4 linked regions of the Xenopus tropicalis genome follow. The protein of the gene in region 4 interacts with the protein of the main gene of each other region in a biochemical or structural test. Links are inferred from orthologs where the notes say so. Each region holds a gene or a part of one and is shown on either strand. Other genes may lie near its edges. The genes, in order: map2k4, ikbkb, mapk1 and map3k1.

Region 1 (8,055 bases), on a different chromosome or scaffold from region 4:
GAGAGGAGAGAGGTGACAGGCTGAGGTGTAGGTAGCTGGGCTGGGACAGTGGGAGAACCCAGCAGGAGGAGGACAGGCTGGTGTGCTGCGGTGGACAGTGCGTGACGAGGACAGCGCTGGGGGTGCTGGGCTGGACAAGTGGGTAGACAGAGGAAGAGGACTAGGCTTGGGGGTGCTTGTGTGAGCTCGACAGTGCGGCAGACAGGCTGGGGGTTGCAGTATGAGTGACAATTGGGAGACAGGCTGGGGGCTGCTGGCCTGTCAGGGTTGACAGTGGGAGGGGAGACACGCGCCCCTACCATGAGACTTGGTGAGCCGAGATGACTGAGATGCCTCTCTGAGCGGTAGGTATCAGCAGTACCCAGGGGCTGGTGGCCGGATGGCGTAAGATGATCTCAGATCAGGAAATTGGCCCGAGACATGATACGGTGATGGATTGCAGGCGCATGGGGTCCGTCATTGTGTGGTATTGGGGAGACAAGTGGGAGACAGGCCTGGGGTGTGGTGCGAGACAGTACCGGAGAGGGGCAGGTGGGTGTGGCTTGGGGAGACAGTGCGAGGACAGCTGGGCGAGATGCTGTGCAGGTGACAGTGTTGTAGATTCAAGATGGAGAGCGGCAGGAGTGGGGTAGCTGTAGTTGGGTTTCGCTATCAGTGGGAGACAAGGAGGAGAAGGCCCACGAGTCTGGGGATAGCTGACCCCGGCCGGCACAGCCGTGCTTACTGGTGGGAGAACATGGGAATTGAACAGCTGGCTGGGTGCTGGGTGATATAGACATGGCCTGGTTGTTGACAGTGTGAGACAGTGCGCGAGACCGTGGGAGACAGTGGCGCAGACAGTGGCCGAGACAAGGACTGGCGGGTGCTGGGGGAACATTAAGACAGTGGCGAGCACGAGATAACTAGGGAGAGCGCAGCCGCTGGGCAGGTTGCATGAAACGTGTGACTTGTGGGAGACAGTTGGGAGACAGTGCTGGGTGCTGCTAGATGCACAGGAACCAGAAGATGAGACAGTGGAGTGACCGTGGCAAGATTACCGGGAACAGTCAGACTGGCCGCACGCACTTTTCTGGGGTGCTCTGTGGTTTGAAAGAGAAGGACTAGGTTAACAGACATTTATGGTAGTGGAGTGAACAGAGTTCTGGTCCGGTGTTAAGGTACGGCAATCATTATTACAAAGCGGTGGTGGTACAGTTTGGAAAGGCGACATGTTGGTGTATCCACACGGTTCGCATTGTGTTTCCCTCGACATTTCAAAAAAATTGGGTGGAGTCTAGGAGGCTACAGATGCTCAGAAATAGAACCTGCCTGTGTCAGGACAGCCTGGGAGACCAAAAGTGTGCTGGAAGGGGCTTCTGTCTTTCTTGTCTGTTTGTGGGGTGATTACAGTGCCCAGTCTCCACCGTCGACAGTAGGGGCCATGACACTGGGCTGGCGATTGACGTGCTGGGAGCCCCATTGTTGCGATCAGTAACATTTTAATGGGTGATCTAGATGTCAGGACCATACAGTTGGTAGTACAGGCGTGGCGAGTTAGGTGCTTGGGATGTACTCGCAGTCTGTCACGCTAGTGACAAGTGGAGAGACAGCGCTAGGGAGTAGGCTGCAAGAAAGCTCGGACGACGTCGAGGTAGACAGCGACTATGTCGTGAGTGAATGCTGAGAGAAATAGACAGTAGGGAGAGCTAGTGGGTAGATCAGGCTGGGATGACTTGGTGAGACCAGTGCGCTGGAGATTAAGAGGAAAAAGATGATCGAGAGCTGTTGGGTCAGTATGCTGTGTAGTATATAAACAAGATGAGTTTTTACCTACATTTGCGATGATTAGGCGAGTTCAAGCTTAATCAATGAGCAATGAAGTACAAGAGATCTATGTGGTGTGGAGGTTGAGATAATTGCTGTGTACTACATTTTGTGATGTGTACAAAGGTAAAAGAGTAAAGTAGCACTCCAAGGGCGCGAAATGTTTAGTTAGGTTATCAGGCCTGAGCGCAGGTGCCTGCTCGATATGATTGTACAGTCGAGGCAGTGCACATGCAGGTATTGCGAGGCGCAGGCAATGGGCATATTTAAATGGTCCCGCTGGTGGGTAGAGCCGCTGATGAGAGCGATGATTCCCAGGGCATACTACGAGAGGGGCTGGTGCGAGAACCGCGAGAGTAGGGAGGTCTGAGGTCGGCGGGTCGCATCGCGTGGGATTCCCAGCCGCGACATCTAGTGGCGAGTGATAGAGGTGCGCGAGAGCCAGTATCACTAGCTGGGCCCCGGAACATGATCAGTGGGAGGGATCAGAGTGATGAGGGTGCAGCTGATGCTGCGCTGGACTGGCCCACAGGTTCTGCTGCGGTGATCAGTGGGAGACAGTAAGAGACAACCGAGGCGCAGGCTGTCGGGTGCTGCCCGGTATGACTATGTGGGTAGTTGGGGACAGTGCGAGCACAGGCCTTGGAGGTTTCAAGTGGGCCTATGTTAGGTGTGTGGGCCGTGATTGCTGCTGCCCAGTTATTGTGGTAGTGGGGACTAGAGATAGACGTATTTAGACCCTTAATATCTTGTTACAGGAGGGTGGAATACACAACATTATAGAAACCCATTAGAAAAGCCAGTCTTGGCCTGAAATAAATGCTGTATTAGTATTCCCTGGGAAACTGAAATTTACCCCTCAGGAAATGCCCCCGAAAAGTGAAATTGGCTAAACCCTGCGGGTAAAAAGGTCCTGTCGCTATGTGGACTCGGTGTTATGATGGCACAGACAACTTTACTAACCAGCTTAAAGGGCTCAAATTCATTATAATAAATGGGTCGGAAAATGATCAAAATTCTGAAACTGTCTGTTTAAAAACATTCACAATAAATGGATGATTTCACTTTTGTGAATTCCCCGCTAGGTTGGCGTGCTCAGGAGCTTAGCCGGACAACACAGCAGGGAGCAATTAGTCCCAGCACTTAACTGAGAGCTCTTCCACAAGAGGCCCCGCCTATGCTCCCAAACGTTCTATGCCGATTCGTTGCATAGGAGGCGGGGTGTGGAGCGATTCGTTCATTGGAGGCGGGGGCTGTGACGCCCAGCGCGGTGGGATTGTGGGAAGTGTGGTGCTTGGTCTCAGTGGGTGCGTTTCTGCATATGTCAGCGCTTTCATTTTTGGTAGTTGAATATTATTAACAATTGGTCGGACTTCAACCCCAGTATACATGGCTGGTCAGCAGGTCGGTCACAGTTTGCGTGGCCTTCGTGTTTCTGCCAAGGTGCAGGTTCTCGCAAAACGCACTGCGTCATAACCAGCATGCAGGGATAAGGGCGGCCCTAAAGCTCTAGTCCTCTGTATCTTCTTCTATTTGTGCTGCCAGGTGCTGGGTGACGCTGCGACCGAGACAGTGTCAGACAGTCGCGCGAAGACAGGGCTGGGGGCTCGTGCTGCGGTGACAGTGGGTAGACACCAGACGTGGTCCAACCCAGGCTAGACGCGCACCCGGCTGGGGTGCGTGGGGTGACAGTGCCGGGACAGTGGGAGACAGGCTGGGGGTGCTGGGTGGACAGTGCGAGCACAGGTCTTGGGTGGTTGCTGGGTCTCCCCACTGGTCTGCCCACTTCAACCCAGCACCCCCGAGGCCTGTCGCCCACTGCAACCCAGCACCAGCTGTCTCCCGTGCATCAGTGGGGAGTACACGAGTCGAGAGCAATGACGAGGTCTCTGCGCGCCGCTCTAGCTGACGGCGCCACAGTGGGTGGACAGTTGGGAGATCAGGTCTGGGGGTGCTTGGGGTGACAGTGGGTGACAGTGGAGACAGGCGGCGGGTGCTGGGTGACAGTGGGAAACAGTGGGCATTGGAGACAGCTGGGGTGCCGGAGAGTGGGTGACAGGCGAGACACGCTGAGGATGTGCTGCCCCAGTGGTGACAGTGGAGACAGGGCTGGGTGCGTGGTGACAGTGTCGTGTGCAGCCACTGCTCTCCCAAACTGTCACCACGCCGAGCACCCCCAGCCCACGTAGGGCCTGTCTCCACTGTCACGCGAGCACGCAGACAGAGCGCTCTGGGTCTCCCGAACTTGTCAGCCCATGCTGGCTTTCCCCGAGGAGCCACACGCCTTGCCAGCCTGTCTCCCACTGACCACGCCACCTCAAGCACCCCCAGGCCTCCACTGCAACCCAACGTCGCACCCAAGCACCGGCTGACAGCTGGGACGCCACAGGCAATGGGGTGGTTGCTGCCTGTCTCCAATCCGTACCCACTGGTTCTTCGAAGCACCCCCAGCCTGGGCCGTTGACAGTGGGAGACAGGCTGGGGGTGCTGGGTGACAGTGGGAGACAGTGGGAGACAGGCTGGGGGTGCTGGGAGACAGTGGGTGACAGTGGGAGACAGGCTGGGGTGCTGGGTGACAGTGGGAGACAGTGGGAGACAGGCTGGGGGTGCTGGGTGACAGTGGGAGACAGAGGAGAGGACAGGCTGGGGGTGCTGGGTGACAGTGGGAGACAGGCTGGGGGTGCTGGGTGACAGTGGGAGACAGGCTGGGGGTGCTGGGTGACAGTGGGAGACAGGCTGGGGGTGCTGGGTGACAGTGGGAGACAGGCTGGGGGTGCTGGGAGACAATGAGAGATACAGAGGGCTGGGGCTGGGGGGCCGCTTACCCTGCATGCTGTTGACGGTGCTGTGTTGCTGAGACTGCCCTTGGAGCCCGAGGCCCGCACTGGTACCGCTGCTGCCGCTGTTACTGGGGTTGGAAGTCGCCATTGTTAATATATTCGCTACCAAATGAAGGCTGCAATGCAGCAACCCCCACTGAGCCTGCCCCCTTCCCACAATCCCCCGCGCTGGCGTCACAGCCCCGCCTCCAAATGACGTCTCCACCACCCCGCCTCCTATGCAACGATCGGCATGACGCTGGGAGCATAGGCGGGGCCTCTTGTGGAGAAAGTCTAGTAGTGCTGGGACTATTGCTCTGCTGTGTGTCCGGCTACTCCTGTGCAGCGCCACCTAGCGGGGAATTCACAAAAGTGAATCTCCATTTTTGTGAATGTCTTTTAAACAGACAGTTTTCAGATTTTGTCATTTTCCCGACATTTTTTTAATGAATTTGCCTTTAGCTGTTAGTAAATCTGTCTGTGCCATCAAACCCAGTCCCACAGCGACAGGAGCCTTTTACCCGCAGGCTTTGCCATTTCACTTTGGGGCATTTCCTGAGGGGTAATTTCAGTTTGCCCAGGGAAACTATACAGCATTTATTTCAGGCCAAGCTGGGCTTTCTAATGGTTTCTATATGTCTGTGTAATTCCCCTTTTGTAACAAGATTTAAGGGTCTAAATACCGTCTTCTCTAGCCCCTACTCATAACTGGGCAGCAGCAATCCGGCCCCACACCAACATGGCCACTGAATAGGGGCCCAACAGGACTAGGGCCCACTGGGTATCTATCCAGCGCCCTGTTGGGCCAGTCCAGCCCTGCACCCCAATATCCCAGTTTGGGGGCCAGTGTGTATGTGCCACCAAGATGGCGGCTGGGAACAGGTGGGGGCCAATGCTGTCAGGCAGCTCTGTAGTTCTGGGCATGCTATGGGGGCACAGATAAGTTGGGGCAAATGTCAGTGAAGTGATTAAAGAGGAGGCACTGCTGCTAAAACTAAACATTTGCCTGGGAGGCTTTACTTTTCCTTTAAATAAAAATGTATACAATATATTCACACAAAATGTTATTATTGCCTCATTGATTAAGCTGAAACTCCCATAATCATGCAAATGTGAGGTAAAAACTTTTTATATATAAGATATAAATTCAACTTTTTTTAATCAGTGGTTTACTTGTTTATAAAATGTTAATGAGGCTTTTTGCCCCTATTGTTCTAGGGTGAGACAGAAACTTGCCCCCTAACAATAGGCTGCTAATCCCCATTAATATGTTACTGATCCCACAATGGGGCTCCTACCAGAGCTGTGAGATGGAGACTGGGGGAAACCAAACAAAATAGAAGAGCTTAGAATTGGTCTGACAGAGTTACACTGAGCTTTACTCCATTTTGAAAATGTCGAGGAAAAATGTCGGGAAAAATGTCGTCAAAACGTTGTATAAATGTCGTTTAAACGACAAATTCACAAAAGTGTCTGTAAACTGTCTTTCTTTCACCAAAAACAGAAAAGTGGTGGTTGAGTCGGAATTTAGGCGGATTTCTGTTTGTGAATCTGGAGAAAGTGTTTTGGGGTTCAGTTAGCGGGGTCATTCATTCTGTGGGGGGAAAACAGGCATCAATTCTGGCCCCTATTTACAGCAAGAGCTGTGCCGGCGGGTTATGGGGCTCTGAAGAACAACTACTTTCATTAAAACGTTGATTGGCAACAAAGTCCTCAAATACCAACTGGATAACAAGATAGAATTCTATCTGGAGATATGGGGCACCTGGGTACTAACCAGAGAGCATCTCTCTCGGGCACAAGTCTATGGGTAGGGCCCCCTCACCTCGGGCTATCATAGGGTACAATATGGGGTCACTCAATGGCTTTAATATCTCCTCCTTCAGCAATATGTAAGCACCCAAAGTGGGTTAGAGCGCCATTTTGTTCTACTGTTTTTCCTTTCCGGTTACCCCCACATACCATGTGACAAGTATTTATGGACCAACAGTTACTGAACTAATGAAAAAATATAAAAAGTTTTTAAAAAGTTGATTGGAGAGGGGAACAGATATAAAGGAAGCCATAGGCTGCTCGGCTAAAGTGACCGGCCTAAAGAGAAATGGTGCAACGTTTTGTGAACTGATGATTGTTCTATTTGGGTGCAGGGTATGGGGGTGTCTCATACTGATACAGATATATACTCCAGCAATTACATGATCTGGGGGCACTTGCAGTAAGGGGATATTTCATCTTAAGAACTGCCCCATGGGGCCCCTATTTCCAATGGGCAGTTGGCAAAGAGCGGCTCCTTTAAGAGAGTGTGCGTGATGCTTACAGCCAATGAATGAGTCAGGGCATTGCAATGTTCCACTGAGGCAATTAGAGCTACCAGGCACATAGCACTAATCCCATTGGCCGTTAGAAGACCATTACGCAAATAGAGCCAAAGTAGAACCCCACGCTGCACCGACTTACTGGGTGCAACTCCGCCCATCGGCCCAAGACCACAGTGGTGCAAATGGCTGAGTTTCCTGCTGCAGTGGGACACACAAGCCCCCTGGCTACATGCCCTATTGGCTGATGGGAGGAGCCAGAATCAATTAGACAAATGACAACTTAGAGTTTATTACATATTATTTATTTTTTAAAATATAAAGCTTACATATTTACATACAGGGAGACCTAAAAACAGACCCCCTCCAATATAGGCATCCAATATTTAGAATTGACATACTCTGCCCCCTCATTGCCCAGACACACCCCTGCATACCCGCCATTATGTACTGGATATGGTTTGTGCAATAGACTGTATGATCCAGGGCATAAACGGGCAACAGGCACCCTCACCCCCTGGTTACCCCTCCATGGTGCATGTACAGCCACTCACCAGCCCCTTCCTCAGCTGACTGATCTGAGGAACAGACAAGCGCAAGCACGAGGAGGCTTCGGAGTATGTCTGCACCGCCGAGCAGGTTATTTCCTTCTCTAAGAAAACTCCAGCACGGTACCACCTGCGCAGCCGCCAGAGGGAGCTGGAGGGTATGTGGCACATCAAGGGTGTGGGTATTGTAGTAATCCCTGTATAACGTACATACTGACTGTTGTCCTTCCCTCATAGGCCCCACCCCAGTGAAGATGGTCCGACCCAAACTAAGAAACCCAAAGACCCCACTTCTCCCAGTGATGGTGCCTCATTCTCCTGCTTTTGCTCTGAAGAACAGAGTGCGCCTTCCAGCGCAGGAAGAGAAGGTGAGGAGCCGGGACACTGGGCCCCATTGGCCACTATTAGGGGAGCCTACAGCTCTGTACTGGGGGTGCTATTGCTGGGACTGGCATCTGTGGGTATGGGGGGGGGGAGACGGAAAGCCTGGTGTCTGTACTGACTTTGTGCATTTCTGTTCCTGGCAGGAAGAGGAGATGCCAGTTATTAAAGCCACACCAATGCCTCACT
Region 2 (7,593 bases), on a different chromosome or scaffold from region 4:
TTTCATCTCATTCCTTACCCTGCCGCACAGTTCCACTGTTTGCTCCGTCTCTCTCCAGGCTGACAGGAGCTTTTCAGAAGCTGCGAGAAAGAAACATTGTTCATATCATTAACAGGTAATGTAAAGGTGAACGGCTCCTTTAATAGATATCATTGATGATAAGGTGATGTGTGTGAAGTAGGAACCCATATAAAGGCTCAAAATACAAGGGCTAGACCCTGGCCTACTAAGTCTCATCCTGCAGACTGTATGGCTAAAAGCAACAGTAATAAAGAGAAATTTGCTCTTTTATGAATATGCTATTTCACAATAGTAACACTGCATGGTGCAGATTTTGCCCTGTTCACATTTCACAAGTTCAATATATAAAAACTGGCATTTCTAGACATATTCATTTTTAGGGTTTAGTTCTCCTTTAAATCTGCATATAACAGAACGGGTACCTTCCGTATCCTAAGCAGAGCTTTAATTTTATCTTAATGCTGTAAACTAAGAGGCCATAGTTTGATATGCACAGATCATTCCTCTGTGTAAAACTGTATTTATACAGAAGACTGGAAGCTCCCATACTGCTTGCTGTTAATACAGAAAGCCATTTATGATGACTATGAATGCTGTTTAGTGGTTGTCTAAAGAAAAAAAAAAAAAGCTGTGCATAATAACAGTGTGTCAGAGGTTACAGCAAAGTCAATAAATCACTATAGTTCTCTTTACTAAGCAATAAAAGTCGACAGAGGGCCCAGCCAGTAACTTACTGATTCCAAACTCCATCTGTTCACTGTATTTTTCTAGATCAATCTGGATACTGTTCCGGAAGAAATCCAGTTTGGCCTTTAGCTGCTCAAACTCAGAAGTCATGAGGTTCTTCTTTTTGGAAAGTTCAGTATTGTATCGCAGCAGGTTTACCCTACATAACATAGAGATATGCCCTCAGCACTTATGCATAATACATGGAGAAACACACATCTGCCACACATACTGTCTGTCCCACCCACACGCAGAGCTCTCATACTCACATAAAGGTACGCTGCCCATGAAGCAGACGGGCACAATCCTCTTTCATCGCTCGTATTGTCTGCCAGGTCTGCCCCCACACGCGGCGAAGGTGGGTGTAAGTGAGGGGCCGCTTGGGATCCTGCACTGGAATAGAATTAAGTGCCACAGTGTCACATCACCATCAACAAACCACAAACCTCAGGATTAGACAGATGTATAAACCCTGAAGGCATAGGCAAACGTCTGAGTCCTCAGGCAAGAGGAATATACATATACATGTATATCCCTTGCCATTACAAGCCAAATATCAGTGGCACTCACATATAACGGTGACACTCTCGGGATGTGCCGGCAGTGATATCTGGGGCTCATATACAGTCTTCCGGTTATCAAATAGAAATATCAGATCACCCTCGCCCTGGCGCCCATCATTGACCTGTAGACAAAAGCAAATAAGACACTTATTGATTAAAATAATTCCAGTTTATAGACAACAAAGATATTGGCCTATGACCCTCAAGCAGTTACAACTCCCACCAGCAGCCAGCATCTTATATGGCAAGGTCAGATCTAGAATGCAAGAACAACTGCAGGTGGAATGAACTAGAACAGTTGAGGGTTTTACTACACTTGCTGTACTGAAAGTAATATGAATATTTGAATCTGTATATTGCACTTAAGAGCTGTAATTAAGCAGTGAAACATATGCCTATATGGTCACTCTCTGAAGTCAAAAAGACAATGGTTTTCCTTTCATTAACAGTTCCACCAGATACTGTGACCTGCAAAGAAAGGCTGCTTACAGAAATATAATTTAAAGTTGCATTTTAAGTTGAACCACACTAGCCTTGTGTCACATGACACAAAACATTTTTTTTGCCATATTTGTGCTTTCATAATGTCATTTTGCGGTGAGCATGAGAAGACTCTTACCGTGCAGTCTACCACAAACTGGGTTAGAGGCTGGGCAGGATTAAGGGCCAATCCTGATGCCTGCAATAGTTCCTGCTCTTCCTCAGGAATCCCTGTGTCTTGCTCCAGGCGACTCTTCAGATTCTGCAGGTTTTCATTCTCTGACACCGGGTAAGTGTGCACCTTGCCAGACACCATGTTCAGTACAGACAACAGCTGGGGGGATATATACACATGTACATCAATATATCAGCAATAACATATATGTTTATAAAAACCTGTGATATATATCCTTATAAGTAGTGCTTAGTGAGGTTATCATATATAAATCACCCATAGCCCATTGAAACGTGTATTAAAAAATAAGCAATCCCCTGCTTCAACATTTAGGAACATTAGAAACCACCTTACATGGTCTGTGGTCCTTATATCTTAAGAGAGGGTGTTGTATAAACATATATGCAGGTCTATCCTGTTGGTTCTGGTGCTTTTCTTGAAACTTTGGGGCAGTTCTCTCATCCAGAGTATCTGCCTTCACCTTTTTTGCTGTTTATTGCTGGGTGGTACGTATAGGTTTGATTTTTGTTTTGATATTGTGTACATATCTTATGAATGTTGAATTATTGTTATACAATAATTTTATATAAAGCTTTTCAACTGCAATACCACCTTTGTATGGCTCTTTTTAGTGTGCAACATCTTTATGTGGTTTATATCAATGCCATTTAATTTACCAGACATCTGGTGGATCCTTCACACATTGGGAACTTGCAGGGGACAGAGTAACTTAATTGTATTCATTTAGACCTTGGCCTACCCACTGTATGTAATTGACACTGGAAAGACTGCTTGGGAGGTGTAAAGGCTATGAAGATAGAAGCTGGACCTAACCACTACTAGTCCTGTGAAGTGATGCCTTTACCCCAGGGGTGATTCCTGTGTCTCTGGAATGTATTCAGAGAAAGTACACCCTTATCTTTAACTGATATATGAAAGTAGAGAATGATAAAAAATAAAACCATATATAGAATGACAAGGCTAAAACAGAAAACAAGAAACAGAAGAAAGGACATGACAGCAGACATATTGATTTCCCACCAAAAAATTACAGATTCTGTGTTGTGTTCTTTACTGTAAATGTTGCTTGTACACCCAAAGCTTCATACCGACACTTACCTTAAGGCTTAGGATGGAATCCAAGGCCTGGAAACAACCAACATTAGGGTTCTGTGGATCTGTGCCTCTCTGTCTCTGGTGCCACATTAGCATGCATTGTAGCCAGTGTTCCAACTTGCCAGCCAGCTTGCTAAAACAAAAGAAATATTTAATTCCAATTTATTGCATGTGCAAGTAGCGAACATCTTGAGCTAGACAGCCTGCCACAAACTTGAAACATGGACTAATATGGTCTGACAGTTGTAAGGCTCTGGGATTCATCATAGAGCTAAATTGAAAACCAGTATTTTTGACACCCAATCAAGCCAATGATCATATCACACGGTGAGTCACTCAGACTCATTAAGGTATTGATTAGGCAAACTACAGTCATCTTGCAACCAAGAGCCTCATTGCCATGGATGTTGTCCACAGAATATTCAACTGTGTCAAAATGATATCTGCCCACATTTATGTATCAAACAGTATGTATGGGTATTGTTTTGGGCTCTAACACAAGCCAATGGGCTGGCTCAACTGGGCACTTTAAGACTAGAACAAAACTAAGCTAAACTATAAACATCCAATGAGAATTTTGGTACCTGTTCAGTATGAAACCAAATGAGACTGATTTATCTAGACATGATCAAAAGAAAGTGGTAGACAATTGGCACCCTACAGTAGCAATACATGGCACCGTGACACAGGTATAAACTGAATACTGCTGACAACATGGCTCAACATTTGCCATGGTTTATGTTTTTACATACTCTGAACAAGATAAAAGGTTGGATTGGTTCCCCTCTGCCCTCTCTCTCTCCATCTTTGCACTTTCCTGTTCTCTTTTGCTTTTACATGTATTAAAAGAAGGCTTATGTAATATCTAAAATAGTTACAAAACATCATATTTTCTGATTGTTTGTTTTTAACATAACTTAAAGGGAGCAAAAGAGAAGAAAAAAAAACATAAAGTGTACAGGCAATGGCAGTATTTAGGTAGAAGTGCCTCAATACTGTGTGTATGTGATCAACCCTGGAGGCAAGGACATCGTACCTGTTCAGATGATTGGGTGTTGGTAAGACACTGGAGAACTTTACTGCTCCCATCAGGTCCTCGTATACCACAATGTGCTCATTGCTTTTCTCTCGCACTTTTCCATGCCTAGAGTCCAAAGGAACATACAGGTCACTATTACTTGGAAATACTGTAATTTGGATTACCGTGCCTTAAAGCTACTTGAATCATTTAAACAGGATTAAATAGATTGTAAGCTTAAATTGTAAGCTCTATGGGGCAGGGACATCTTTCCTACTGTGTCTAACACCACACGGCACTTTGTCTCTGTGTATTTATACTTATTTGTTGTACAATTTATAACACTTGTCCTCCCGGTGTGTAATTGTGTATATTGTAAGATTGTACTGCGCTGCGTATCCTTGTAGTGCTTTATAAATAAAGTTATACATAAATACAAATGGGATTATTTTGCCACTAACATCCAGTTTAGTTACCATCAAGTACAATGTACTGTTTTGAAATTACAGATATAATGGAAATCAGTCAAATTACAAGAATTGTTTGCCAAGATAGGACTCTACAAGAAATGGCATTGCTGTATTTTTGGAGCTTTCTGGAGAATGAGTTTCTGAATAACAGACCCCATAGTTGTATCGAAAAAGTAAAAATGTGATCAGAATAATACTAAACAGAATTAGAAAATAAAACTATGATTTAAGGTAAGCAGCATCGCTTAATAGGACTGCTGACTATCACTCTAGAGCAGTTTAATTTTTCCCAACCACATAAAGTGTAAGGGGGTCACTAAAGCTGTTTTGGGGTACCTGCAGTGTTTGGCCACTAGATGGCAGTACTGGGTAAGGTTAAGTTAGGTTAAGTGTCTCACCACTGAACAGGTTGCCAGTTGGGAAGGAAAGGTCGGAATCCTGTTATACATTCAAAGGCTAGTGTCCCAAAACTCCAGTAATCAACAGTCACTGTGTACTTCTTCTGCTCTAGTAATTCTGGGGCCTGTGTAAAGGCAAAGCACAGAACATAAGGATAAGGGTATCAGCAATAAGAAAAAATGAAATGGAAGGAAACTGGCACAACATATTGGTGAGTAGCACAGGAAGGACGTACAAAAAACAAAGGGATTCCATCATGATTTTTCTGGTTTAGTTTTTATTACTATATTACACTGTTCACATTCACTCTACCATTTAAAAATGTATTTTTGAACCAATAAATATATTTTTTTTTTTTTAGCTGTAATGTTGGTGTGTAGGCAGCATCTCAATGCACTGTGCCTGAGTCTGAGCTTTCAGAGATGCCAGCGCTACACATTAGAACTGCTTTCGGATAAGCAATTATTTTTCCCAACTCCCATGTGACTGGAGGAATCATGATCCAGACTTGGATTTTTACTATTGAGTGCTATTCTGATATCTACCACTAGGCGGGAGCATTTTTTAGCAGTTGTCTTGCTCCCTTCCCATTGTGCTGCTAATCGATTGCGGGGGGGGGGGGGGGGGGGATATCACGCAACATGCAGCTCAGCAGTTAAGTATGGCTGAAGTTTATCAGAGCACAGGTCACATGGCTGTGGCACCCTGAGAAATGAAGAATATGGCTAGCCCCATGTGACATTTCAAAATCAAACATAAAAAATGTGTTTGCTCTTTAGAAAAATGGATTTCAAGCTCTATTAACTGATGTGTTTTGATAAAAAACATGGTTTTCCCATAACAGAATCCCTTTAAGCAGGCCATGCACATACAGAAATTGTTGTTAGATACAGTTTTGTGTGATTTGGGACAGACATCCTTGTACCATGGATATTGTTTTTCAAAATATAGGTTTTTCAAAAATTGTAGCTTCAAACAAATTATATTTTCTGTTCATGTACAGTCAGTGTGATGAAAATGGTGGTGAATGGTGTGCCTGATTGGTCCCCGACCAACTGTTCTTGCTTTCAAGCATTATATTTCCAAGAAAGCAGCCTTCATATTAATAATTATTGATCTATATAACAAAGGTTTTGTTGGCCATACATTAATATCTCTGCATGTATGACTACCTTCACATTATGGAAAGCTGATAATGATACGGATAAAAGAGTAGGTGGATAACAGGGCAGAAAAGAGCAGAAGATATTTGAGTGATGGGGTGGGCTGGAAAAAGGAGGCAAGAAAAAGGGTGGCGGACAATAACATTAAAAATAAAGGCACATCTGGGGCAGGAATCGCCAATGTTTGATGTTGCAGAATTCTCTCCCTTTCTGCAGTAGGTGAGTTAATATTGGGAGTTGTAGTTATATGTCACCTGGAATGATGAAGACTGCCCAATCCAGCTCTCGGGGAGCTTCAAGCTGTTGGGCTTCCAAACCACAAGAGGGTGAAGCAGAATATATACAAGGTGCTTACCAAATACTGCAGGGTACCCACAAAGGATGTGCATAGACTCCCCTGATCAAGCTCCTTGGCATATCCCAAATCAATAATTTTATGGATCAGCTGAAAGAGAGAGGAAAGCACAACCATTGCAGGTTAAAGAGCCATATACTTAGTGCTAATGTATTACTCTTAGAACTAACACTGACTCCTGTGTTCTGGTTCTATTATGTACCATTTAAGTGATTGGATACTGTCTGATCTAGCCATTCACAGTTGGACAAACAGCAGTGACCCACAGACTGATCACCCTTATGAGTGGAAATGAGCTACTAAGAACTAGAAGGAAACAGATGCTAGCATTGTCATTCGCAGGAAATATGCTTTTTGTTCAGTGCAAGCAGAAAAGGCTGATTTTATGATGCCATCTCTTTAAACAGGGTGTGTGTGGTGTAAGGGGGGAATGCTAACACAGTGCCTGTACATCAAATATAATCTGTGTAGTGTAATCATCCTCCTATATTCATCCCTCATTCGTCAGCAAAGTGAATAAAGTTTAGCAGCTAAAGTACCTTTGTTAAGTGTCTGAAAAAAAAAACTTTCTATTAAGGCAGGGATCCCCAACCATTTATACCTGTGAGCCACATTCAAATTAAAAAAGTGTAGGGGAGTAACACAAGCATGAAAAATGTTCCTAGGGGTGCAAATAAGAGCTATAAATGGCTATTTGATAGCCCCCTGTGGACTGGCAGCCTACAGGAGGCTCTGTTTGGCAATTACACTGGGTTTTTATGCAACCAAAACTTGCCTCCTAACCAGAAATTCAAAAATAAGCAGCGGCTTTGAGGCCACTGGGAGCAACATCCAAGGGGTTGGGGAGCACCATGTTGCTCACGAGCCACTGGTTGGGGATCACTGCATTAATGAAATAAGATAAAAATAAGTGAATCTGACAGTTTAAAAAAAAACGTTTGTTTGCCTTTGAGTAACGGAGCCATTAAGAGACCAATGTGTACTGAATTCACTTTTGCTGTATTTTTATTCTTTAGCTTCTATAACATTTTTAATGACTATTCAGGCAGATCTGCTCTGTTGAGCCGACACTAGAAACACATGCATTACTTTGTTGTACATTAACTG
Region 3 (8,388 bases), about 37 Mb from region 4:
CTTTATGCAGAACTGGGCTAAGTACAAAGAATACCTATGCAGAGACAGATTTAAAGTATGCTTTAGGCTATGAGAAATCTCCATGTTATGGATTAATCCATGCATAGCCCTTTTTAGCAGACTATACCCATATTAGTAGCTGCATTCTTGCAAAGGGAGCAATGCACAACAGGAGGGTGATAAGGACACTGAGACAGTGGCAGCTCAGGCAAACCTTTAGAGCTCTGGCACACGGGGAGACTAGTTGCCCATGACAAATCACCCTTGTCGCGGGCGACTAATCTCCCCGACTAATCTCACCGGTGGGATGGCATACGCAGCGCCGCTATTTCCCCGAAATTTGCTGAAGTTTCCTCTCAAGGCAACTTCCGCAATTTTGCGCCGCATATTCCATCCCACCGGCGATTAACATTCTCGCCATTGGGATGGCATTTAGGGGAGATTAGTCGCCCGCGACAAGGGAGATTTGTTGCGGGCGACTAATCTCCCTGTGTGCCAGAGCCCTTAGATTTACATTTTGTGTACTATTCTTTATGGAGAGACTTCTTTATTGCCCCCCTGGATAAAAAACAAAAAAAGGCAAGGTACTATCAAGTAGCATTTTCAGATTAAAAAAATGTGTATATAATAATGTTTTTTGTTAACTTTTGACTACCCAAAGAAAAATTATTTACGTCGGACCTTTTCTCTGTATGCAAATAGCCAATCACAGCCCTTATTTGGCACTTTAATGCTTGTTTGGCTTACCATCACTGTTTACATCTGAGTGTGGCTCACAAATAAAGGTTAGAGATCCCTGCTCTAGAACATGATGATCTTTCCCGGCACTCATATAGACATACCCCAGTCTCCTATTAGCAGAAGACTGCACTAGCCTGGGGTACTTCTGTATGAGCACCATGGAGGGATAAGCTATAATCCCCTAACAATCGCCAAACCACCCCAACCATGATTTTAACTTTTCTTATCCTTTAAAGTCAAGGAACTCTTAAGGTGGCCATACACCTTACAATTACAATCTTTCCTATGTCACAGGGAAAATAGTTCCCACCCTTCACTGACATTCAGGGCTGAATAGTCAAATATGGAGGTAAAAACAATAGAGATTCAACCTCTAACTAATGATTCAACCCTAAACGCAGATTTTGCTCAACAACATCAAAATCTTTTGTCCCGCCAGATCAACAAGATGACTGGTATAAGAAACTTTTCAGATAATGGCTGTCTTGTCGATCCACCATACACGCACCGAATATCACCAAAACCTTGTTTCGCACAATAATATTGGTGCATGTATGGCCAGCTTTACTATTAAGAGAAGAAAAAATTCCCACTGTAGCTATGATATTTGTGAGTGTACTTACATGGAAGGCTGTGTGAGTTTTTTTTTGTTTTTTTTAACTTTTCATGTTTTTTTTTTTTGGTATGCTGTACACATACATGTTTGTATCTGTACTTGACAATTATTTCTCAGTTATAGGTGTGGTTCCAATTTTGGAAACTAATCAGTCTAGGGCTTAACATAATACACAAAATTTTAAAGGGCAACTAAGGACAAAAGACAACTGAATATATATATATATTTTTTTTCAAGTCTTAATTGAGGGAAAATGGAGTGGATCTGCTTAGTGTGCCCTGGCCCTTAAGCTGGCCATATGAAGGTAAAAACTTTAAAAGCTGCACACTGTGTGTGGAGGCATTTTAGACAATTCATAGGGCTTTCCCACAGTCATATCCAATAAAAAGATCAGGCAGAAGATTCTGCTTGGCTGGGGCAGTATGCTGATGGGGTTTTCTTCTAAGCGGTCTGCATAGATATAATGATGATCACCAGTGGGTGTGGACCCACTGTATTACATTTTGCACTAGCAAAAATTCCAGGTGTTTTATCACATTACAGTGTACCAGTGCCCTTAAGATATACATATTCATACACGGTCCTTTAAAGGGCTATAAAATATACAAAATAGTGGAACTGCATAAGTATGCATTTTGGCACTGAAATCAGCTGTGTGCGCCTGCACTTGGGCTGACGCAATTAGCTATTAGGAGCATATTCATGACTTATGGTTCTCTACAGGCCCAAAATATGTCACGTGTGGCACTGGCCATAAACCTTTCATGCTTAACATTAGAGATACTACCATGTCAGGTTATGGCAATTTACATATTTTTTGCAAAATAATTTAGTTTTGTGTAGTTCACTATTACTTAAAGGACAAGGAAAGGCTGTAATGTAGCGAACCTTTTGTAAGGTACCCCTGGTGACCCAAGTTAGCACTTTGCAGTGAAAGGTAGGACCTGGGCGAATGTGCACCTTGGTATTAACCAATGGCTACCAATAACATATTGGCTTCAATTGTTCTACCTATAGATGGAGGAAAATTGCCATTTGCTTGACAAAGGGGCATGGCCCCAAAATGATGCACTTCTGCATTAAAAACTGTTCACCCTGCTTGGATAAGTTCTGTGTGCCAGTAAATTTTCTTATGGCTGAATTGCGAGGGTGCCAATGCCTCTATCATTGAGCACTAAGCCTAACTGTCCACGGGAAGGTATGGGTGTACATACGCTTCAAGTTTGGATTACTGCACCGGTACAAATTTTCCCGGTGTTGACAAGAGAGGCCCCTTGGCAAATAGCCTTATTTTTGTCACAGCCATCTTGGCAGATCTGCTGCTTTTCTGCATTACGGTATATGATTGTGTCTCTGCATTATAGAGTCCAATGGGCAGAGCCTATTAGGCTGTTATACCTATGTTTGGAATTGAAGTCAGTGAGCCAGAACAGAAGCAAATCTGCCATGATGGCACCATCAGCTTCCTTTTATTAAAAAATTCAGTAACTGGATAAATCTGGCAAAAAGCATATCAATAATATCTTACAATTAATGGTATGCATATAGCGGCCCATCAATTACAAGCCATAGCTATAAGTCATGGATACAAGTTGGTTAGTCAGAAAATTTTAGCGTAAAGCTGTTCTAATTCACTTCCCCGTGTGGATGTGGGTAGCCAATCCTATCTCTTCTCTTAACACAGGGAAAGGTAATATGCAGTTCCCAGTCAGGTCCACTGGACAAATAGCAAGATTCTAAAATAGGTCCAACAACTCACCACAGAGGAAGAGAGGCTCAAGTTTACCACCCTGTGCCTACAGCTAGGGGAGCGGATAACTGAAGACCACTAGACTGGGATTGGCTGGCACTCTACAATGCAAAGTGCTGAGTATTTCTGGCTCTCCTGCACAACCAGAGGAAGCAGCCAGCCAGAAGTGAACACCTGGGTCATGCTTGTAAGGTTTTTGGGAATACTTTAGCAGTGAGAAAGACAAATTTTAAAAGGTTCATTTCTTACATAGTGGAACAGCAAAAGTCTGTTCTTGACAATATGTGCACCCTTTAATAATTCATTGATCAACAACTATACAAGCAGTAACAATCAAGTAAAAGTGGTGTGCAACCCTATGTTAAGGTGGCTAGGCATGTAGAGATCCGCCCATTTGGTGAGGTCGCTGAACGAGCGGATCTTCCCCCGATTTGCCCACCTTAGGTGGGCAATATAGGGCTAATTCAATTATCAGGCCCTAAGGTCAAACCTGCCCACCTTGGCAGCTTAAATCTGCCAGTGTACCCCTTTAATCTCTTGTACTGCATGCCTGAAAATGTAAGATTTTAAACCTTGGAGATATTTGGGCCTGTTCAAGCTCCTAAAACATAATGAAACCTGATAATATTAATACAGCAAATTATATCTACAATAAAATTGATGTCACCCATGTACCAAGGACACACATTCTAATCTATATTTCTAGCTGGACTGAGGCACAGTGTCCTGCTTATGTCCAAACTGCATATCTCTGTGCATTTAGGCTCTGATATGAAAAACTGAATTAAAAGAATCACTGTGGAGGAGGGCTGGCACTTGTCACTTTAGAGTCGGCCAATGCCTTCCCACACAACACAATGGAACCATCATTTTAGCAGATTTATACTGAAAAGTGCTGTGATCTGAGGAGATTACGCAATGCCATTTAGAAAAACTGTTCCCACACGGAATGTAGGTTGGCCCTAGGTATAGCTAAACACTGGTTATTAAACTGAAAATGAGAAGTTAATATAAAAGTCACCTTTGGCTTGTGTCGCACAGGATATGGATGTCTATCTTGGTTTACAAAAAAAAAAAAAACAATACTCCCACTTTTACTGTACTTATAAAAAGTCCATAAAGTTACAATGAACACAGTTCTAAGTTTATAGACTAGCAGACCAATGAGACAGTAGTAAACTAAACTATGTGCTGTTTAGGGCTGTGAGCGCATTTGTCCTACACTCTGGTGCTACAGCATATATATGGGATGGGGATAATGTAAGAACCTGCACGACACTGGGAAAAAGGAAACAAACATAAATAACTGATAAAATACAACAATACTGATAAAATACAACAATATACAAATGTCAAATTGCCTTTTTAACCTTACTTCTTGAACTTAACTTTTGAGCATATTTCAAACAGGACTAACTGCAATGGTGCAAACCTCTAACTCATAACAAGTTATAAATACGCCCACAGCATTGTATCTTAAATATCTTGCACGCATACAGTATTAAATGCAAGTACAACATGGCCTCCATCTGTTCTCCAAGAACAATTCCCAAAGCCCTGGCTGTCAGTGGATGCAGGAGTAATTAGTTCATCAAGCCCTGATGGGTCAAACATTATACATTCCTATTTCATTAACTAAAACTGTAACAGGCTGTATGGGTGGGTTTAAGGGTACATTGCGGGGATGATTCTCTAATTCAGCTTTACAAAGGTTACCAACACAGCAAAGAAAGCCTGGAAGGCGCAATAATCCAACTACAGGGAAAGGAAGCACAAATCTGCATTTGGGGGAAAGCAATACCCTAATGTGCACCAGTGCTGCATGCAAAATGATTGCTGGCTATGACGGGATTGCTGGGTGCAGGTGCAACACAATTCCCAACACTAAATAATGGGAAAGAAATATTAGCGAACAAATGCCGAGTTGAAGCGGCAGAAAGGCCGGAGCTGGCAGCCGGGAGCCGAGAGCACGCAGTCCCTAGTGGAGCAGTGGCAGTGCGTGGGGAGGTGGCTGCACAAGCTGGAGAGGGCCGGGACAGATCCCAACACGCACAGGCCTGAAGAAGGAAAAGGCCATGACTAGGATTAGAAGGAGATCCGCCCGTACCCCATGCACTTACCAAACCATGCCGTACGCTCCCTCCCCGATATATGACAGGTTGGTATATCGCGGGCCTACGTCGAACGCCTGCCCTCGCACCATCTCCGGCCCCCCGCCGGGGTTAGACGAGGCCCCTGCCGCTGCCATGTTTTGCTTGATTTAATGCGTCGGGGAGAGTTTCTCCGGAGCTGCTGTGGGTATTACACGGCTCGGTCCGTCTGCGCCTCCGTGGGTGTGGCTGCCTCTCTGGTGGGGAGCGACAGAGCGGATGACGAGGCGGCGCCCCAGGCTCGCTGCACTGGCTCAGTCGTACGCTGTGTGAGGCGCTGCCGAGCTAACGCCTTCCCGCCCGCTGGGTGTGTGTGGGGCGGAACTACGGGCAGGGCCTTGGAAAGGCGCAACTCCCCTCACGCTTTGCTGCAGTGGGCGTGGACTCGTACGGCTCTGCTTTTTTTTTTTTTTTCTTTGCTAAACTCTCTGTTTTCACAGGGTGTGTTTGATTTACGGCTTCCCGGTTACTGATTTATTCCCGCTTTAGAAAATGATCGATTATACTGGAGGCTGCTGGGAAGTGTAGTCCGGCAGAAGCTAGAAAATAAAACTTCAATACGGATCCTGACAGCAGAATTAGAGGTCTTTTGACGTCTCTCGCCAAGCGCTTCCTGCCTAGACTGAACGCATCGATCGCAGTACGGCGGCTGTAGCGTCTTCTCTGGTGTTGATTGGACGCGTCTTTGCTGCCATGGGAAATGATCTGCAATATTTTTCAGTAATAGTTGCGTTCTTGTAATTGGTAATTACAGAATGTGGGGTTACGTTATTGTACATACTGTACAGCAAAACAGTATAAAACCCCATGGAAACAGTCCTGCTTCATACAATAAAATATTTTTTTTATCCTATTGGCCTGTAAGGAGCTGCCAATGTTACCTGGCGCCTGTGTATACTGAAACCGTTGTTTACATAGGTACATAGCATATTTCAGGAGTGCCCAGAGTTTACTGACATGGGATCTAGTACGTTTAGCAAAATTATCAGGGTCTTCCATGTCTAGCCATCTCTAGTTACCTTAAAAAACGCTCTTAGTTACAGAAAAACATTTTATAATCTAAAGCAGTGTCAGACTGGTCAACCAGGATATCAGGGAAACAAAGCTGTGAACTCTCCAAGTTTTCCCCAGTGTTACCTGATTCAGGAACTTGTACCCCATATCCTCCTGGAAACCTGTGGTAATCACCCATTTAAAAAAAAAATGTGCATGTGTAGTGAGCTTTCTGCTTGTACATGCAGATTAAGCACCCAGTAATGTCAGTGCATGCGCAGTGATGTCACTGGGAATCCACATTTGGCCACGCCACACAATGCGTGTGCCATAGAGTCCCCTGGCCATGCCAGTAGTAAGGCTGATGCCACACGAGGCGTTTTTGCGCTGCGTATTTTCTAATTTTCTCAGCGGCTGAAAAACGCCCGATATCATCATCCATAGAAATAACTTGAAAAGACGTGAAGCAAACCACACAAAGCGTAAATACGCTTGAAAACGCCTTAGCACGGATTTTTCAAGTGTTGGCCGAAATACGCCAGTATTTGCAAAGCAAGCTATTCCTATGTATACACAAAGGCAGCTGCCAGACCTAGCGGAAATACGCAGCATTTTTTACTATTTCGCACTATTAGCACCAAGGAAACGGGATTTGCTACGTCACCAGTACTAGGCTGAAAAACGCCATAGTCAGGGGCTGTGTGGCTTGTGCAGCATTTTTAGGCTGAGAAAATATGCAGCCTAAAAACGCCACGTGTGGCATCAGCCTAAGGTGACAGCTTTGAAAACTCCCTGTGGGCTAGGGATGCCATATTGCTGGTATCTTACCAGCCTGGTCAGTAAAAATGATGCTTAATCCCAATGTTATTAACAACGAAAAAAGAAAACTATATAGGAAGAGTGGTATTTTTTTCCTGTTAATGTGGCAACCCTAATGTGGGACACAGGCCATGGGATTTCCTATTTCTAAATGAGAACAAAGAGAAGAAATGAGGGAAGGACAAATGATGATAATATGAAAGGACCTGCTTGCTAAGGTTTTCTGGTCTTTGGCACTCCAGTCCAACACTGATTCAAAAAACAAGATGTATTTGCCAAGCCATAATGTAAACCTGAATAAAGGGAAGAACCCAGAAGGGTGAACTGATGAATTTATTGTAGACCATGCTGGGCGTAGGGTTGCCATACATCCGATGAGCATGGAAATCCACCAGATTGTTTCTAAGGTAATAATGCCACCCCTGTCATTACACTGGCCAGAATACTGCCTCTGACATCATTATTTCATAACTGAATTCAGTTTACATTAGAAATGCAGGCAGGCACTCTGGATCACCAAATAAAACGTTTCAAGGCAGCTCAATTCAGAGTTAAAACATTCTTGGCATTCTGTATGGACATAATAAACTAAGAATGTTTTTACTCTGAATTGAGCTGCCTTAAAACGTTTTTTTGGTGATCCAGAGTGCCTGCCTGCATTTCTAATGTGAATTTTCTAATGGCTCCCTAAGCTGAAGGTCTGGGGCATGAGCACTTGGACCCATCATAACTAAGGGCAGTAGCACATGGGGAGATTAGTCGCCCCGCAACAAATCTTCGTTACTGCAATGCCATCCCACCGGGAACAATGTAAATCGCCTGTGGGTTGGCATGCTGCGATGACGCTACGATTTCCTGAAGTTGCCCAAAGTTTCCTTGAGAGGCGACTTCGGGAAATAGCTGTGTCCTTTTTAGCATCATTATTCCATAATCAACATCATTGCTTATGCTGGCAACGTCAGCACACAAGCCTCCTGATGTTAGAGGTCCACCGCACCTTTGCCTAGGTTTAGGGCTCTGGTACACGGGGAGATTAGTCGCCCGCGGCAAAACTCCCTGCTCGCGGGCGACTAATCTCCCCGAGTTGCCTTCCCTCTGCCATCCCACCGGCGAACATGTAAGTCGCCGGCGGGATGGCAGACGCGGCGAGGCGATTTCGGGAAATCGCCGAAAAAGCCTCGCGAGTCTTTTTCGGCGATTTGCGCGAAATCGCGCCGCCGCGTCTGCCATCCCGCCGGCGACTTACATGTTCGCCGGTGGGATGGCAGAGGGAAGGCAACTCGGGGAGATTAGTCGCCCGCGAGCAGGGAGTTTTGCCG
Region 4 (8,368 bases):
CATGACATGGGGTGCATCTGTGGCATGGAAGAAAGAACAAATAAACTGCGCTATAAGGATGGCCCCAGCACTTGTGTCCTTAGGAATAAGCTAGAAGAAAGGCTTTCTCTCAGAACAGTAGCTGCAAGAAACTGTTCGACTCCCAAGAGGTCCAATATTTGAAAGAATTTTGTCTCAGCAGTTGTTCAGATGGCACAGCAGGTGTATTCTTTTATCACTATGTTATTGAATGCTCAAATACTGTGTAAATGAATTTACTGACAAATGGTAGCTTGCTTAGCATGGCCATTACAACACCATACATATATAATATGAAAAATATTATAGGCCTATACAGGCAATCTGTGGATTTTTGGCAAATGCCAGAGCGGCTGCTGTAAGATACCATAGACAGTCACTATTTATTGGGCTGGTGGAGACTGTTTGGGGCTCTGGGTACTGGAAATGCCAGAGCCTATTTTGAACCTTAGTCCCAGAGCCAGCATATTATTATTATTTATCATAGCACCACTATGTCACATCATGCTCAGTTCCATTTGTCGGAGCTAGGTGGGTTATTTACAGAGAAGCTGCCTGAAGTGATTCCCAAAGACAACAATGTAAAAGTTATTTCCAGGCAGGAAGCACTATCTTTTGTGGTCTCTGTTGAAACAGGAAACACTGTAGCTGCAGGCAAAAGGGTCTCCTGACCAAAAACACACAATGCCCATCCCTTTGGCCCCAGGGATTTACTTGTGATTGTCTGTGGTTGTAGCCTGTCTGAGAGAAAGAGTGAGTATAAAGGCAGGACTACACTGGGGGTTTTTTTTATCAGATTTTGTAAGGCAGACTTTATCTGACCCACAGGATCTTGTCAAGTTCACAGCACAAGATGCTACAAAATCTGATGCTCCATGTTGTAATGTAAAATATGATCAGATGGCTTCTTGTTTTTTAATACATCTACATCCAACAATCAATGTATTTTCAATGATAAAAAAATCTTTTAGACTGAATCAGATTTTATTTTGTCAGAGAAAAATGTACCATGCAGCATTCCCTTCTGACAGTCATGTTGTATCCAATGGCAAATATTTCATTATGTTTACTGGCCAGATTGAGTTACTGACCATTATTTTTAAACATATGCAACTACAGTATAAAATGTAATCTGTCAATCCAACCACATCCAACAAAATTTCCCATGCAGTTCTGTGTCCCTGAAGTGTTGGAGTAAAGGGGACCATACTCGGGCCAGTTTCAGCTGCCGATATCAGTCCTATAGACTGATTCAGCAGCTTACCTGCCCATGTATGGGCACCACTGACGGGCCTCCAAACCGACATCTGGCATATCGGGAGAAGATCCGCTCACTTGGCAATCTCTTCAAATGAACAGATCTTACAGTGTATGCCCTTCTTAAGGGTTTTACCATATACAAAAATCCAAAAAGTAGGAAAAAAGCTTCAGCAGATTTACTGCAAACCATTTATTGTGGGTAAACACTACTCAACAAATGGTTTGCAGTAAATCTGCTGAAGCTTTTTTCCTACTTTTTGGATTTTTGCAGTTGAATTTGGTTGCAGCACAGAGCAACAACTAGGAGCTAAAGCTTTTTTCGTAAGTACTTTATACAAAGTTCACCAATATTTTTTTATTTTTGAGGGTTTTACCATATGTTTGTATGTCAGTCTGTATGTTTAGGTACTGTTTAGTATGTGTATAAGTATGTATCTATGTGCATTTGGGTGTCATTTGTTTCTACAATATAAATACTGACAACAGTTAGCTAAAACAGTGAAGACCCATAAATACATATAAACATGCCAGTTTTGACCTAATGCAATATTTTGGGATAGTCAAAAACTGATCTTACTTGCTGAATGTGTATGATCAGGCGAATTTGGCCACAGCACATACATTACTTGGGGTCACCAGTTCCCTGGATGCTGTAACCCAAGATTCTGATGAACAGATCTGAAGGCAATCTAACAATTACATCATAATAAATTCCCTGGTTCACAGTTTTCTTTGTTACTCAGTATATGAAATTTCTGAGTAAGTTAATGTAACAAGGTTTTTTTAAACAGAAAAAAGCAGGTTGATTTATAGTAATAGCAAGATGTCTCAAACATAATTGCCTATAAGGGTCATCTTATGGGGGTAAAAGGTATGTATTAAACAAAATCATTGATGTATATAGTGTACCTAGTTTCGTACTTTATATGCTTTCTCTTTTAATCCAGTAACTTTGAAGCCAGAAAGTTTTCCATATATAGCTTACCTTGCCTTCTGATAACCTAAAAGGGCCCATACAGTAATAAAGGGGTCCCCCCCCAAAAAAGTCACACTGCCATAGCCAGCACCCTCATACTAGGGTAGAAGAGCTGCATAGGCCTAAAACCTATTCAACAATATGATGATAGCTCAGATATTAACTGAATGATCACTGAAATGTAATTACTAGCTACAAAGTCTACAGCTACAGTCCCTAGTTTTTTAATCTACAAATATTCCTGATTCCTAGAACAGCATAGAAGCATAAAGATGATCATAAAGGCCACTAGACAGAGGGAAAAAAAATGGACCCTGCAAGTGAAAGTTGGGGCCCCAATAATCAGGGCTGGGCCATAACTTAAACATCCATAACATGGCTATCAGGCAGCAGAGATTACTCACTGTGCTAAATATGTCATTTTCACTTTATTACCTGTGGCATTTTATAGCCAAGGATTATAATCTGAAGCCCAGAGCAAATGAAGTGCCCTAGAAGCTGAGGTACTGAGCCAACACCTCTGCCCCACACTGCTGCCGTGCCCCGCACTTAGCTGTCAGGTACGGTTTTCAAACTCCGTGCCCTCCCCTCACATCCGCCTTGTGTGGGAGTCGAGAGCATCACAGGTCACGCCCACTTCCAACTACGCGCCCCACACGTAAACTGCGTAAGACCGACCGATACTGTACCTTTTACCTCGGTTCTTACTCCTACTACGTAAAGCCGCACTTGTCCACGGCATTGCTAGCAACACGCGGTGGAGAAAAAGTTATGGTAATCTGTAAACGGCTGTGGCGAGATAAAATGTAATTTCTATTGACAGGCGGCGACGCCTTATGCCACAAAGAATTTTGAAACGTATACTTGGTAAGCTATATATTAGTTTGTGGCTACGCTGTTTGCGTACCTGTCCGATACTAGCGCTTCAGGTTACGCAGATTCCGTACTTGGCTAACTACGCCCAGGACATGTTGAACACGCCCCTCGGCTGGGTTGTCGCTACGGATGTAAACCTGGCCCGAGGAAGATGGCGGCCGCGGCGGGGAGTCGGAGCGTGTCGTCTGGATTAACGGCAGCCGCGGGCGGCGTAGCGGGCTCCGGTAGCCCGGAGACAGGGGGGCAAAGACTTCCAGAAGGGGCTCCGGGGGAGGCAGGGGGCGAGCAGCGAGCCGACTGGAGGCGCAAGCAGCTGCGCAAAGTTCGGAGTGTGGAAGTGGATAAGCTGGCGGGGAGAGAGCCGGAACCTCCGCACGTATTGGCTGCCGGAGTGAGGGAACAGGAGCCTGCTGCGGGGAGCGAACCCGAGGAGCCTTCGGCGGCACACAGCTCATGGTGAGAGGGGAATACCTGGGCATAGTGTCCCATGCTTGGGCAGGAGTGTGCCACCTGTGCCACTTACAGCACCGTACTGCCCATCTACTACCTCTTTAGCTGCTACTGAACTACAACTTCCAGCCTGCCCTGAACATTCCTATAGGCATTAAACTTAGTGCTTGGCAAGTGTACGGTTGCCACCTGTGCCACTTGCTTACCTGCAGCCTTAGTACCTGCAGGGCTCTCCTGTCCTTACCAAATTGTTAAATTATAACCCTCAACATATCCTGAACGTTGTACTGGGCAGTAGCGTTTGGGGGTTTTGTGTTTCAGACACCCTGGAAGCTGTTATGGTCTGGTAGGGATTGTAGTTGAACTACATCAGGAGTGTTTCATGTTAGACTCTGTTGTGCTTATAGCCTGACAAGGGGCTACTTAGAGGGTAACGTATAGTGGGCATTTGCCCTGGGCTGCCAGTATCACAGGAGCACTGTAGTGGGAAAATGTTTAATAATAGATATATTACTGTGTTCCTAAGGGATGCCCATCCTGCACCCTCAGCTCTTGTTGAACTGCAAGTACTTGACATCCCTCTGACATCTAGAGGAAGAGCAGTACCACAATAGTGTTTCGTGCCAATAACGAATGCATAGGTGTGCAGCTTGCCAGCCTACCAATCATCATTCTGTGTGACGGGCATGGTGTGTTCTGCTGCTGTCAGTTGCTTGAAATGAAACGTTTCCTCTGAGATTGCTGGAACTGCTTCTTTACCGCTGAATTGGTGTGTTGGCATGCACTCGTCATACATTCTTTTTTGGTGCCTTTATTGGTAGCTGCCAGTATCCGCTTTAGTGGCACAAGAACAGTAAGTAGAGCATGATTGTCTTCCGGGAGAGTGGCCACACATCTCTTATACGATGGGGCTAAATAGGGAAAAATAGTCTGTTATCTAAGCTGTTTGAGATTGCTGGGAGTTGTAGTTCCAAAAACAGTTGGGTTTTGGCAGGCTGGACGTCTGCGTTGATGCTTTGGCATTGTCTTTTAGCCTAATTGGCTTGTAATTGGTCATGCTGTTGTGGTGATCCCTCATGATCTGATGTAGAACTGGACAAAGTGCTTGTTTCCTGTTTCTTTTGCTTTGAGACATTCAGAAATCGCAATCTTGTGCCTGTGCTTCTAGCTGCCTCCGAGTAGCGTGCAGTTACACTTTATGGATGTAATTCCATTAATATGTGCGTATTTGGGTATAGCACCTTTTGTCTGCCAAAGGAACTAGTGTTGTAGCACTCTGGGCCATTTTGACATCTGATTTTGCTCCTTTCTAGATATGCATGTTCTGTATGTATAAATAGATTCCTGTGTTCCGGCACATGAAGCTTAATTCTGCAGCATTTCCTATAATAAGTCTTAGTGAAAGACAGAAATGTTGGTCGATTTAGCTTGTGCATGCAGTGCTATACGGTATGGCAGTCTGGTACAATTGGAGTTAATGGGCAGTAGTGTTTCTTTTCCCCTCTTTATTTGCAATTACGCTGGGCAAACCTAGGGGTCATGCAGAATCTCTCCCTTCCTGTCAGCTGCTTTCTCTCCCTTCTCCCATCTCCATTTGTAGCACACAATGCCTGCTCTGTTCCCCCTGTGTTTCCCAGCCTGGGTTACCTGTCACTTTGGTAGGATGTGGGAGCCCCCATGTGAAATTACTGGAAGTTAGCCTTTGTAGAAGTGGTTTTGCCTCTGGCAACCCTACTATTTATGGAAATCAATCTTTGTAGGTAAGTGTAGATTATCCTGTAATGAGTGAAGTCCATAATCCTCCCTTGTGCTGCAAAGTCATATGATTTCTGTAAGGCAATATTAACTTCTGCTGGCTCTGTGTTCTGCTAGGTAACTGGTTCTGCTGGGTATGCAGGTTTTTATATGATATACTAGATGCTACAGCCATATATTGCCTTTGATATATATATATATATATATATATATATATATATATATATATCTGAAAGGCAATGTTATATATATATATATATTAAAAATGTGTTTTATTTCTGTGCAGAATAAAATATCTAAACTGGTGGCTGGTAGTAAGTAATACATGGTAAAGTACAATTTGCTTTCCTCATTTCAGTTTAGGAAGTTACATTGTTGTTTGCCTTTAAATCATTTTCTCTGCTCACAGTTGAGTTCTGGATAAATATTCAAGTTACGACAAGTAAATAAGTGTATGTTTCAGTAAAGGACAGCTGCAATTTGGAAACTATAGAAAAGCTTATAAAATTATGTTGAGCCCATTGTTTGTTAGATTAGAAATGGTTATATATCCAGTAACTAAGATAAGGCGCTCAGCTATACCTAGTGCTTTTTGTAGCATCAGGTGCTTATACTTGAAAATAAATTTCTTTTGAGAAATGGTTTATATGTGTTGTCATTGTTAGTACATAGGTAAATGTTGGTTAGACCGTTTTCACCCATATCACGCATGGCTATGTGGATTGAACGGTCAGGAATGCACTGTAGGGCAGCTACATTTAGTAAAAAAATAGAAGGTGGTTTTGCTGTAATATATTTTATTAGGGCACTGCAATTCTTACACTAGTTGTTCTATATAACCTGCTATTTTGTGGATTGCAGGCACATTTAGTAGTTACTGAAGGTTGTTAAAGGGGTGGTTCACCTTTAAATTAACTTTTTTAATATGTTATAGAATGTTCTATTCGTAGCAACTTTGCAATTGATCTTCATTGTTTATTTGTTATAGTTTAATTATTCACCTTCCACCTCTACATATTTCCAGCTTTCTAATGGGGGTCACTGACCCCGGCAGCCAAAACACTATTGCTCTGTGATCTTACAATTTTATTAGTATTCTTACTTTATATTACTTATCTTTCTACTCAGTCCATTTACTATTCATATCCCTGTCTCTTATTCAACCTACTACCTGGTTAATAAGGTAAAGAAGACCCTAGCAACCAGATATCTGCTAAAAAAACACAGGAGAGCTGCTGAGCAAAAAGCTAAATAACCGAAAAAGCATAAAAAACAAAACACAGTTGCAAATTGTCTCAGAATATCAATGTTGGTCATACTAGAAGTTAATTTAAAGGGGAACAACCACTTTAAGGTAGCATGTATAAGCTGACCTGTACCCTACTGACAGTCCGGCTTGTTGGCAGAATGGACAGATAATATAAAATGACCTTTTTTTTGTGTTACGTTGATTTGGCCAATTACTGAACTATTGAAACAACAGGAAATGAAGAGGATCTGTGGCTTCCCCTCACTTCCTTTCAGCTAAGCAATATACATTTTCCATCAGAACAGATGATGCTCAATCCTACAGTATTGCAGCAATATCTCTAAAAACAACAACCCCCTCAATTTGCCCAGTTTGGGTAATAAGGTAGAAATCAGCCAAACTACACTACCATATCTGGACATGTATAGCCAGTCCAAACTGGAGACGACAAGTCTGTGGTTCAGGTGACAGTATCTGAGCGCTCTGACATTCTCACCCCCACCCTATCACCAGGATGTATATCAGAGGGCACACCCATTCAGTAGCCTGAAAATGTTTTATTTTCAGCTGCTATTGATTCAAAGTGACTTTGAAGAGGGAGAAAAAACATTGCAGACAATAAAGCTGTTTATATGACTCCAACAGCAACCTGAAATCATTATTATTGACCTCTAGGATTTCACAAAATAATTGCTGTTTCCACGTTTTCAAATCCCTCAAGTTCAGTTGTATTTGCATTGTTGCTTGGGCCTTGTTCACATGCTTACTCTTTTGTTACTTAAAAAGCAGGAAGTTGGCCTTAAAATGTTTACAACATTATTTAAAACCCCACCGTGCAATCGGTTTAAAGATCTTTAAGTTATCAATGGATAAGGTGAATACACCTGAGGATAATGCAGTATTAATGTAACTATAAAGTCAATTTTAGTGGTATTGTAGTAAAGCATTACTACTTCTCGCAACCAGCAGCCCTGTGGCTATTGGCTTATAACCATTTGTTCTAAAAGGACCTCCTTTGAAGTCATTTAGGCTGAAGACATACGGGGGTGATTAGTTGCTGTGACTTTTCTGAAAAGTCTCTGTGACAATTTGTGCAACGAATATGGTCGCGCGAATTGTCGCATTGATGCTCATGCTCCTCTATAAGAAAAGTCGCTGCAATTTGTCCCAGCGATTTGCTTGGCTAAAAGTCACAGCGACTAATCGCTCCGTGTGTCTTCGCCCTTTGGGTAAAGACACACAGAGCTACTAGTAGCAGCTACTTTTTTATGGCTACTAAACACCAGAAAATACCCTGCCATAGACAATACTGAGAATTTTTTTTTTCACAGGATTAGTCTAATTTCATAGTTAATTTGCCAGTGCCTTATTAGTGTAAAGCATCTCAGACAGCTTAGAAATGTCAAATTGAGCATTTGTGTGGTGCCCACCTGTCACTGTGACCACAGAAAATAGGCTGTTGTGTTGGATAACTATAACGGTGTTTTGACTGCCGCAGTTCTCCACCAGAGCCCTGTGATGTTTGAAACTCCCCATTGGCCATAGCTCTTACAATGACAATATAACATTTAGGGATGCACAGAATAATCTATTTTTTTAATCTGAATTCTGATTTGCATATACAAATAAGGTCAAGTAAGGCTGATGCCACACGTGGCGTAGGGCTGATTTTTTCGGCAAGCGTTTTTCCGCCCTACGCCTGCTACTTGTGCCTGCACCCGAATGAATGGGATACGCTCGGGTGCAGGCACATGTAGCCGATATACGCATGAAAACGCGAGAGA

The links.
Region 1: of the proteins of map3k1 (region 4) and map2k4, one has a biochemical effect on the other in vitro, tested with the Homo sapiens proteins (7 studies listed by BioGRID and IntAct, with this or other methods). The link is inferred for Xenopus tropicalis from reciprocal best matches to the Homo sapiens genes MAP3K1 and MAP2K4.
Region 2: of the proteins of map3k1 (region 4) and ikbkb, one has a biochemical effect on the other in vitro, tested with the Homo sapiens proteins (3 studies listed by BioGRID and IntAct). The link is inferred for Xenopus tropicalis from reciprocal best matches to the Homo sapiens genes MAP3K1 and IKBKB.
Region 3: of the proteins of map3k1 (region 4) and mapk1, one has a biochemical effect on the other in vitro, tested with the Homo sapiens proteins (3 studies listed by BioGRID). The link is inferred for Xenopus tropicalis from reciprocal best matches to the Homo sapiens genes MAP3K1 and MAPK1.

Annotation. Positions count from the first base shown.
Region 1 is NC_030686.2:46,930,377-46,938,431, reverse strand, and holds the start of map2k4 (dual specificity mitogen-activated protein kinase kinase 4), read right to left. Parts: upstream 4,656-8,055; 5' UTR 4,636-4,655; coding exon 4,629-4,635; intron 1-4,628. UniProt on the Homo sapiens protein: Dual specificity protein kinase which acts as an essential component of the MAP kinase signal transduction pathway. Essential component of the stress-activated protein kinase/c-Jun N-terminal kinase (SAP/JNK) signaling pathway.
Region 2 is NC_030679.2:130,599,638-130,607,230, reverse strand, and holds part of ikbkb (inhibitor of nuclear factor kappa-B kinase subunit beta), read right to left. Parts: intron 6,577-7,593; coding exon 6,487-6,576; intron 5,093-6,486; coding exon 4,968-5,092; intron 4,226-4,967; coding exon 4,118-4,225; intron 3,215-4,117; coding exon 3,085-3,214; intron 2,125-3,084; coding exon 1,930-2,124; intron 1,433-1,929; coding exon 1,318-1,432; intron 1,141-1,317; coding exon 1,017-1,140; intron 908-1,016; coding exon 756-907; intron 81-755; coding exon 19-80; intron 1-18.
Region 3 is NC_030677.2:154,009,602-154,017,989, reverse strand, and holds the start of mapk1 (mitogen-activated protein kinase 1), read right to left. Parts: upstream 5,417-8,388; 5' UTR 5,356-5,416; coding exon 5,228-5,355; intron 1-5,227. UniProt on the Homo sapiens protein: Serine/threonine kinase which acts as an essential component of the MAP kinase signal transduction pathway. MAPK1/ERK2 and MAPK3/ERK1 are the 2 MAPKs which play an important role in the MAPK/ERK cascade.
Region 4 is NC_030677.2:190,956,406-190,964,773, reverse strand, and holds the start of map3k1 (mitogen-activated protein kinase kinase kinase 1), read left to right. Parts: upstream 1-3,002; 5' UTR 3,003-3,281; coding exon 3,282-3,586; intron 3,587-5,305; exon of another isoform or gene 5,306-5,320; coding exon of another isoform or gene 5,321-5,340; intron 5,341-8,368. UniProt on the Homo sapiens protein: Component of a protein kinase signal transduction cascade. Activates the ERK and JNK kinase pathways by phosphorylation of MAP2K1 and MAP2K4. May phosphorylate the MAPK8/JNK1 kinase.